2 linked regions of the Coturnix japonica genome follow. The protein of the gene in region 1 interacts with the protein of each later gene in a pairwise test. Links are inferred from orthologs where the notes say so. Each region holds a gene or a part of one and is shown on either strand. Other genes may lie near its edges.

What was found. The genes of interacting proteins can lie anywhere in the genome.
Region 2: the proteins of AIDA (region 1) and PINX1 interact in binary tests that used the Homo sapiens proteins (3 or more experiments, as listed by UniProt). The link is inferred for Coturnix japonica from reciprocal best matches to the Homo sapiens genes AIDA and PINX1.

The regions. Positions count from the first base shown.
Region 1 is NC_029518.1:15,668,882-15,674,067, forward strand, and holds the start of AIDA (axin interactor, dorsalization-associated protein), read left to right. Parts: upstream 1-1,467; 5' UTR 1,468-1,582; coding exon 1,583-1,692; intron 1,693-3,181; exon of another isoform or gene 3,182-3,196; coding exon of another isoform or gene 3,197-3,252; intron 3,253-4,007; coding exon 4,008-4,077; intron 4,078-5,186. UniProt on the Homo sapiens protein: Acts as a ventralizing factor during embryogenesis. Inhibits axin-mediated JNK activation by binding axin and disrupting axin homodimerization. This in turn antagonizes a Wnt/beta-catenin-independent dorsalization pathway activated by AXIN/JNK-signaling.
Region 2 is NC_029518.1:97,540,166-97,544,884, forward strand, and holds part of PINX1 (PIN2/TERF1-interacting telomerase inhibitor 1), read right to left. Parts: intron 3,770-4,719; coding exon 3,660-3,769; intron 1,158-3,659; coding exon 1,065-1,157; intron 164-1,064; coding exon 85-163; intron 1-84. UniProt on the Homo sapiens protein: Microtubule-binding protein essential for faithful chromosome segregation. Mediates TRF1 and TERT accumulation in nucleolus and enhances TRF1 binding to telomeres. Inhibits telomerase activity. May inhibit cell proliferation and act as tumor suppressor.

The DNA.
Region 1 (5,186 bases):
CTGTAAGAACACGTACAGCTGAGGTGCTTCTCAGTCCACAAATTAAAATAATTTGAAAAGTCCCATATATTATTACGCTAAATATACTTATTTCTATTTGAAACTCTAAACCTTCACCACCCATACGCTTAGTTTTAAAATTTCATTCTCTTGGAGCACCTGTTTTCTACGTGGCAACTATTTCTATGAGAGCAAAAAAAGCTATACCTTTGTTCTATATTACTGCATGCTTTTTTACTCAAAACAATTTTTACCTCCTGTGCAAGGTTAAGTATTTCCCACGTCATTTACAGGTTGTATGGGAACTGTTGGGTCATGGCCTGAACCACGGACTGAGTACCTGGGGAAAAGACCCAGTCAGCCCTGGGAGCACAGGTGAAGGTGTGACTGGAAGGGGTGGAGCCTGGCCACACCTCTCTTAGACCCCATTTAAGGTCTGACTGCCACTAGGGAAGGACACCTGGTTGGAGATTCCTTCCTTGTGGAGTTTTCCCTGCAGGCCTGAATCTTTAGAGGTGGGTGAATGCTTTTCCTTTGTAACACTTTGCATTGCACTGGTCCCTTTGATATTACGTCTCCTGTATCACCATTCCGCTGTGTTGATCTTTCTAGTTGTTACGCGGGTGTATCTCAATTCATTGAGGTCACTATATTGGAGGTGTTAAAGAGATGGGGATGCATTACACTAAAGGGTATGGGTTATAGGTTTTCAGGATCTAATAGGGTGAAGCCCTGAGCACCCTACTCTAACCCTACAGCCAGTGTTAGACTGGAAACACCCTCAGAACCCCTCCAACCTAAACCCCCTATGATCCTTTTTAGGGCTGTAAATTCCCTGTTCTAAAACACCGTGTAGCATAGCTGAAACCCGGGAGGCCTGCTGAAGAATCAACTTCTTACAGCGCCTGCTAGAGCCCGGGCCTTAGGGCATCACCAGGAAGTTCCTTGTCCCGACCTGCTCGTTGTTTACCTGGGGTGTCCCCCAACCCCACAGTGCCCGTTCCCAGGTGCACTGTCAGAGCAGGCAGCGCCCTGGCTCCCACCCCCCGCCCCTCAGACGCTCCGCTTATTGTTTACCGCCCCAACGCCCCCACAGCCGTAGTGCCGGCCAGGCCGCACGCTCCGGCAGCCGGCCCGCGCCGTACCAGCCCCACCGCCGCACCCGCTATAGGCTGACGAAGGGAGAGGGGCCTACGGGAGCCCCGCTACTCACCGGGACGCTTGTGCCGGGCGCTGCGGGGCCCAGAGGAGCGGCTCGATCCCCGCCCGGCGCTACAGCTCCGTCTCAGCTGCGGCAGCGCCCTGCCCGCTCACGTGCCCGCCGCCATGACGCGTATTGAGGCGGAACTGGCCTCACTCTGAGCGCTGTGCCTCGCTAGCGATGGCGCGGGCGGGCGCGGCCGGCGCAGCGTCCCTCGCTGGGCGGCGCTGGCGGGAGGCGGCTCCTCGTTTGGTTGTCGCGGCGGCTGGGCCGGGCCGGGCTGGGCTGGGCTGTGCCGGCGGCGGGCGTGGGGCTGGCGGGAGCGGCTGCCCGGCGCGGTGCCCCGGCCCGGGGTGAGCATGGTGCCCTAGTGCTGGGGCTATGTCGGAGGCGGCCCGGAGCCTCCTGCAGCGCTGGGGCGCCAGCTTCAGGAAAGGCACCGACTTCGACTCCTGGGGGCAGCTGGTGGAGGCGATCGACGAGTACCAGATGTGAGTGCGGGCCCGGGGAAGGCGCGGAGAAACGGGCGGGCGGCTCCTGCAGTGCTTCCCTACCGCCCGGCACCGCCGAGCCGGGCAGCCCGGGGCGGGGCGGGGCGGTCGGCTGCAGGGCCTATAGGCCGCGGCCACCCCCGGCCTTGCCGTCGGGGCCGTTATGTAACGCGGGGCCGCCCCGAGAGGCGAGGCGGGATGCGGGACCCCGGCTGAGGGGAGCGGGGGTGGCCGGGACCCGCCCTGCAGGAGCGAAGCCCCCTGGGTGCGGGTGGGCGCTGCTGCGGGGTTCCATGAGCGATGGCGGGAACCTGAGCGAGCAGCTGGGAGCTGAGGTTGTTGTGCTGGGTGTGTGGAAGAAGTCCCGAGCGTTCTCTCCCTGTAGAGTATCAGCCATAGGGGAACCGTCCGAGAAGTCTAATAGAGCTGCTCGGGGCTGGAGGTGCAGCTGCCCTGGCTCCTAACTGGGTGCCGATACCGGGTGGACGCTGCATCGTGAGGTGCTCATCTCCTCCGTGCAGTCCCTCAGCGGGTGGGATGATGGACACTCGGTTATCTGCTGTTTGCTGGTGGGCTGCAGCTCGGGAAAAGCTGTTACTGCACACATCTGCCCTTAGGTAGACATCCATGAGGAGTGCTCTGTGACCCTAACGCTGCAATGCCCCTAGGCAGTATTAGGGGTTAGTTTCCTTCAAGGAAATCCCCTCAGAACAGAAAGTCTTCAGGCTTCTCCTTCAGAGCTTGCTTTGCTGAGAAGTTCACTTAATGACTGCAGCCAGACCGGTGGAAGAGCTGAGGCATGGTTTTCATTCCCTTTCTCTTTCATCTGATAAGAACTGAGGTGATCTTGGTGCCTGTGCTTTATTCCAACATAGCAGCAGCATGATATATCTGTAAGAAAGCTCCTCTGGGTAGCACCATTGTGAGCTGCCCTTGTAAGCTTTACCACTGAGCCTCTGAATAGAGGAGCAGTCAGCAGATAAACTCAGTGGCCCCAGGAGGGAGAAGATCAAAGGATGACAGGGATTTCCTGGGGAGGAGCAGAACCTTTCCAGTCTGCTTATCCACTGCTCTTAGATGTAGCAGGTAGACCAACAACAGCTTTGATCCGTAGGATAGAAACCAGAGTTAAGAAGCATAGGGTGAGATACCAGCCTCTAGCTCTGGAGAAACATCCCATCGTGACTTCATGCTACTTGCTGCCTTTTTAAATGGAAGTTTGATCACGCTGGTGCAGCTGGTTTAGATGCTGTTAGCAACTGCCAGTGTAGGAAGAATGGTAATAAACTGTGATGAGCTTGCTTACACTGAGAAAGATCTTTCTAGTCTAAGTGAGTTCAATTCAGGGTTTTAATGGCTCCTGGCATAACTGCTCGCCTCCCTTGTCCAGGGGGCCTCCATCTGCTCAGGTCTGGAAGTTTCATGCCAAGATTGACCCACGCTCATGTGGGAGCCCTCAGCCACCAGCAGCACCTCCCACCATTGGACTATTGCCCACGCATCCATGGCAAGAAGATGGATTCCTTTAGGAGCACAAAATTACGAAGAGATTGTATTGAGGTGTCCACAGTGCCTGTTGCTGTCTTAGGTTTTCCCCTCAACTCCTCTCTCTCTCTTGCCCTTAAATATATGTATATATTCACAGAGAACAGCAACAATTGCAGTTTCCAATCGCATGGTTTCGCTTGTTTAATTTTCTCCTTCCTCCCTAGACGGAAACTGTAACTCTTCCCATAGATTCCCTCTAGCTTCCTTTCGCTTTCATGAACTGTTTGCTTGCTGTTACTTCCCAAACCCCTTGACACTGGGCTCTGTGGTGGTAATGGGTGGAGCTGCAGCTCTGCGTATGATGCTGACAGGCACAAATGGGAACTGCTGCACCCTGGGAGCTTCAGCCACAATGTCCCCATATCCCTCAGTGGGAGAGTGTGTGGCCATTGCCTGGGCTACCTGCTGCTCCTCTGTCTGCAGCCATTACTCTTGGCAGTCACATTCTCCATGAGAAACATAGCACTTGGATCTCAGTGGGTCCTTTCCACGGGCAGTGTAATTTATGATAGTTATAGAAGGGGCTGTTGGCTAGAAGGACCCTCATACCTTCTATTTTTTGACACACTCTAAGTAGCTTTTCCTGCATAATACTTTGTCTTCTGTTTGTTAGTTTGTATTTGGTGTGGCCTGCTGTGGCTATAGAAATCTTTGTGAAGAAGCTTCTTGGAGCAGCAGTCTGTGCCATGTTTTCTGGACACCGTGGCAGTGGTGATGGGGTTCTGTGCTGTCCTCTCACTGTAGAATTTTCTCTCCTTCTCCTCCAGATTAGCGAGACATCTCCAAAAAGAAGCTCAGTCTCAGCACAACAACTCAGAATTCACAGAAGATCAGAAGGTAAGCGTTGCTGTTGGTGTAGTCAAGGAATGTGTCTCGCAGTTGTTGTTTTTGTGTCTGGCAGACCTGAGCTTTGTGATACCTGTTTTCCTCTCTTAATATGCAATAACAGAGGCAGAGCCCAGTGCAGCTGAAACTGCTGCCGTCATTAGATGTGACAGATGCTCTGCTGTGTAATACTGAGCGTCTGATGTCTTACATGCTGGTCAGAGTCCTTCATAATCTGAGTGTTTCTTTTTTTCTGGGTGACCTTTTGATTACTTGCTTATACAACGTTAGCGTGATTTGTGTTATGAAGACTGAATGCAAAATGTCTTGAGCCGTAAATGTTGAGGGTGAGCATGGAGGATCTTAGCCTAACATGTAATGCCTGACTGGAAAGGATCATAGCTGCATATTCCTTACTAGTTTCAGTGTTATTTATAGCCCTTCAGATTATTGAGCTGTCTTTCCTCTTTCCTCCCTTCTCTCAGCTGAAAAGGCTGTTTTTTGTCTGAGTATTGTTGCAATTCTGTGACAGGTTTTAGGAGGAGTATGTGTGTTGAAGTCCAACACACACAAACATCTTCAGCAGAATACAAGACCTGGGGTATAATGGAGTCTGTGTTTGTTAACGCCTGTCCTGAAAACAAGCCCTGGCTACAGAAATTGCAGATTAACTTGATCATTTATCACTATGAAATACACCTCTATGTGCAGTCTGACAGTGGTCTGTAAATGTTTTCTTGATGTATACCATCAAAAAGAGCAAAGGACCGGCCTTTTCTATTGCCCTTCTGTGAAGCAGAGGATAAGGCTTAAACTGAGTCAGAATCTTGGAGCAGGGCTGGGAGCACCTTTCCCGAACTGGAGGATCCTTGTTAACATTGGGCAGATGCTCACTCATTCATTACTTCTGCACTCTCTCCCTTCCTGATATCTTTCTCCATAGTTCTTGCCTATTACCATTTTTACTGCACATTTCTCCTCTGTGGGGACTTTTGAAAATAGGATTGGTTCGTATCATTCACTCAGCATACAGGAATAGAGTTTAGTGCACTTCTGGGTTTTCAGTCAGTTTAGTTAACTAGAAGTATATCTCCTCTCTTGCTCCCTCTCAAAAATGCCCA
Region 2 (4,719 bases), about 82 Mb from region 1:
ATTGGGCCTCAGCTACTCTTGTAAGACAGATAATGGAAACTCTGCAAAGCTTCCAGCATCTGACTGAGCAAAGCATGAACCTACCTGTTTCACTCTGTCCATGGCAATCATTCAGTTCAGCTAGAAGCTGGTTGAAGTCATCCTGATGAGCAATCCAGTTGTCCTGTAAATATCACCCACATGAATACAAAGCAACAGTTTACAGATGGAACAGAAGTTTCGCTAAAGCAGGTATTAAAAAACAATGCCCTCCAAGAAGTAACTTAATCACATATACTGGATTCTTAGTGGGAGGGACCCCCTGAAGCTCCACAGGTGGCATACAGTAACAACTTGCTGTAGTTACTCAGAAGCGCAGAACCGATAAGGGTTGTGTTTGTAAGCTTTTAAATAATGCTGAGCCGCTGTTGGCTCCACATGTCCCAGACTGCATGAGACTTTTTCAACAGTAGGCAGGAAATACGAGTGTGATTTTCCAGCAGTTACTTAAGTTGTTGATTCTGAGACAAGCACCTTTAATAGCACATTCTGCAACCTCTACATGTACCTGAAATCCAGTTAGCAAGGCAACTCCACCAGGGAGAGGGAAAGAAAACATAAAACTAAGCTAGGTACAAGATATGTGGAGGAAACAAGTATTTCATAAAATCGTAGAATGGCCTGAGTCGAAAAGGACCACAATGATCATCCGGTTCCAGCCCCCTGCTGTGTGCAGTGTCACCAACCAGCAGCCCAGGCTGCCCAGAGCCACATCCAGCCTGGCCTTGAATGCCTGCAGGGATGGGGCATCCACAGCCTCCTTGGGCAACCTGTTCCAGTGATTTAGAACAAAAACTCACTGAACAGCTCTGAGAATTCACCGTAACTTTCCCAAATAGAAATTTATTCCCCAACCACTGAGCAGGGCCAAACTAAATTCCAGGTCAAGAGAGTCTCTGCAGAGAAGTTCACACAGGTACATGCTGCCATTAGGTATGACAACAGATTTCACTAACATCCCATTACAAAAATTGTGCCTCACCTGAAAAGGAACCCACATCTCCTTACCTGGGTTTAGCACTCACCTCGTTCTTGATGGATGCTCCTAACCCCAGCATGTTGTTTTTCACTTGAACCTTGATGTGTTCTGTATTTCCTTGCTCCTGAGCTCCAAGACCCTAACGAGGATTGAAGAGTAAAAACATAAGGTTTTTTTTCCAGCAGTGACTAAGCAACTAGAGCTGCTGTACTGAAGACATTTTGCAGTGAAGTGTAGCAAGAACCCACAGGTTACTATTTATTTGCTTGCCTGCAACTGAACTCATTCACAAGCATTAGCATACATGAGATATTAAGTATTTTTAATTTACTACTTAGGCCTCCAGCAAAATACAATAAACACTAAAATAACATCATTAAGCAGTAGGTGATTAATCAGGAAGCCACCTGACATTCCTAGGCAAGTCCAAAGTGTTTTCAATTTTAAAACAAGACACTACATAAAAAGAACATGCCTCTTATCAAAACCACCTCCGCCATTGCGAAGGCAGTTGTGTAACAGCTACAAGACAGATGCCTCATGGAACTTAAAAAGCAGAATTAATTTATATTAAAGTGGGTGAGGGGAAGCGGGAGGATCAGACTGGAGCTAGCAGGTCATTAGGAACTTTTTCCATCTTGTTTACACTCGTAATTTGGTGAAGATACTGGGGCAAGCAAGTGTTGGTTTTGTCTATCCTGATTAAATGCAAGCATTCCAATATGGGAAACAAGCTCCAGACCCAGTATTATCTTTCTTAATTGTACAACCAGGGGAAAAAAAAAAAGACAAGGCATTTTGTTTTGAACATTGGTCCTGCTATCTGCTTTTCTCCCATCAGGCCATAACAATACAGGTCTGATGGAATGGTGGAACAAAGTCCTGTGGATAAAGCCTTTGCCTACGCAGTATGTGGAGCAACAAGGACTGTTTGAATAAGGCTGCTGCTATCACAGATCCTTCAGCCTTCTTTTTTGGTCAGTGGGGTGGAAGACTTACCTTGAAGCTCCCACTAACAAAAAAGTATGGAAACAAGCAGAGCACCTGGCTACACATCTCACCCTGACCCAATTCCAATACAACTAATAACAGGACTAACATAATCAGCTTAATTTCAGAGCACAGATGGGCTTTTACTCCTTACCTCGATCAAGCTACGGCTCCATTTGTCTGAGTTCCCAGCAGAAGAGGGTCATAAATCCCTCTAGTACAACTATAACTGTTGTAGAAGATTTAGTAGCTCATGTAGGAAATTTATTGTCAAGAAGATTGGGGGGAATGACAGCAAACACCACAAGGCCTTCCTTCCACACCCCAACACAATGTGCTCGTATCAGTTAAAGGCATTAACTATGTTGAGGAACTGGCAGCCTGAATAATAACCAGCACTCTTTCTACTCTGATTTGTATACCTATTTTAGACTTACGCATACAAAACAGCCACACTTACAACCTGACATAACTCAGTCCCACACTTTGCTAACAATTCATTCTAATGCCTAGTGAAAACACTGCCAGTTCCATGACTTCAGCAGCCTTTGAATCAGTATCACTGCTCATCATCTGTGAAATTAAAGGCAGGCAGAAGCCAGATCTATACTATGTTGGCTATGTTACCAACTGAGGTAGCAGCAGTAGGCTAAACTGAGAAACCCAAGGGCAGCCTTGTTTTTCCTCACTCTTAAGTTTTAATACATTCAAAGAACTGAGAACAGCCCTAATTTTGTTTATTTTAAAAGGGAGGAGATCAAGAAGAAGAATTTAATAAATAGTGTTGGAGAGGTTCTATGTGTTTGTTTCACTAAATATGCTTGATACACAGGCCCAAATCTCAGCTTTGCTGAGGCATCTTTGTGGAAGTTAAACTGCTTTTGAGTGGCAGTAGAAATATTTGCAGCTGTCTATGCTGACCTGGAGATTATTCTTAGCACCAGCAACCAGTCACCTCACACCACAGGTACATGCTGGAGCTGCAAGGGAATACAGCTCATGTAATGTTGCATTTTATACAAGGATCAGAAGTAACCTTTAAAAACAGATGAAAGCTGGATCAGCTGCCCAGAGAGGCTGTGGATGCCCCGTCCATCCCTGGAGGTGTTCAAGGCCAGGTTGGATGGGGCCCTGGGCAGCCTGGGCTGGTATTAAATGTGGAGGTTGGTGGCCCTGCCTGTGGTAGGGGGGCTGGAGCTTCGTGATCCTTGAGGTCCCTTCCAACCTGGGCCATTCTATGATTCTATGTGAAAAGCTGATTCTATGATAAAAGTAAGCATAAGCTAGCAAGTATCTTTGTAAGAAATTACAGAAATCTAACTTTGCTCAAATTCTCTGTGTTCTTAGCAGGCTTATGAGAATAAACCAAATAAAAATACTAGAGTAACAGAATGGCCTGTATTGAAGAGGATCATAAAGATCATTTAGTTTCAAACCCCTTGTCATGGGCAGGGTCACCAACCAGCAGACCAGGCTGCCCAGAGCCACATCCAGCCTGGTACAGCAGAACATCACAGCTGTTTTAAGCACTGGGACCAACATCAGCCCGGTAGCCCTCTACCCCTTATTTTTTTTGTTTCTTTTCCTAAAGCATTTTTAGTTCAGGAACAGCAGACACAACCTCAGAGCTGCACAGCTCTCCTGACCATACCTTTCCTTTGGACCAGCCCATCTTTTCCAGCATCTTCTGTCCAAATTTAGATTCATCTTTACTCCAGGCAGTGTTTCGTGGATCCACGGACCACTTCTGTCTTCTACGGGCTAAGTCAGAAAGGAAAAACATCAAACAGGCTCTATTTACATCTCCACGGTGTTCCGAGTATTTAATCAGCTCAAGAAAAGCCTTTCAACCCAAAGAAACTGAACTTATGCCACACCAATCACATATTAAGAGTTATTAAGTTATATTAAGTGTTAAGAGATGCAACCTAGAATCAAAGCTCCTTTGTGCTATGTATACCACTAATGAAACCACAGTCCCCCAGGTCCATGTGCGTGAGCTTGTCTGTATCATCAGGAATAGCTTCTTTGAAACCAAGGAAGAAAAGTTAGCACAGTTAACCAGCCACTAAGCGCGCATCTAAACACATGCAGGAAGAGAACAGAAATAAACAAGGCAAAGAATGGGAGACAGGAAGATTACAAACTTCATTAAACACCATGGGAAACGGTGGATCAAAAATGACCAATTAACCCAAGGCCACTGAGAGTCAGCAAGAAGCCAAGTCCACTGGGGCACTTCCAACATAACCAGGAAATCATCTCTTCCTAAAATGCAACACTTGGGATTTGGGCCAGAGGGATTGAATATAACAGGTACATTCAACTCATTGGCTGCTGGGCTTGGTTCAGAACTAACACTGGCAGAATGTAGGATGGCAGTGTTTTTTAACATACTTCTGAAACTCCAAATAAGTGCTGCAAGGCAGACCCACAAAAAAATAACAGCCTGATAAAGAGTTTCATAAAAGTTCATAAAAAGATTTTATGGTGTGTTAAATGACTTAGTGCTGTGAGAGGAATCGTAAAGCACTCAATTAGTTCACTTCTCTAAGGGAAAACGATGACCAGAACCATCCAATACATGCCCTGTCTATAGAGGTGCCACTGAAGACTGTGATTTTAAACAGACCCAAGCAAATCCAGGTTCCCTGCTGTGTTTCTGAGGCCAAACATTCTGGTTCCCTCAGGCAGAGTTTGCTCATGTGTTG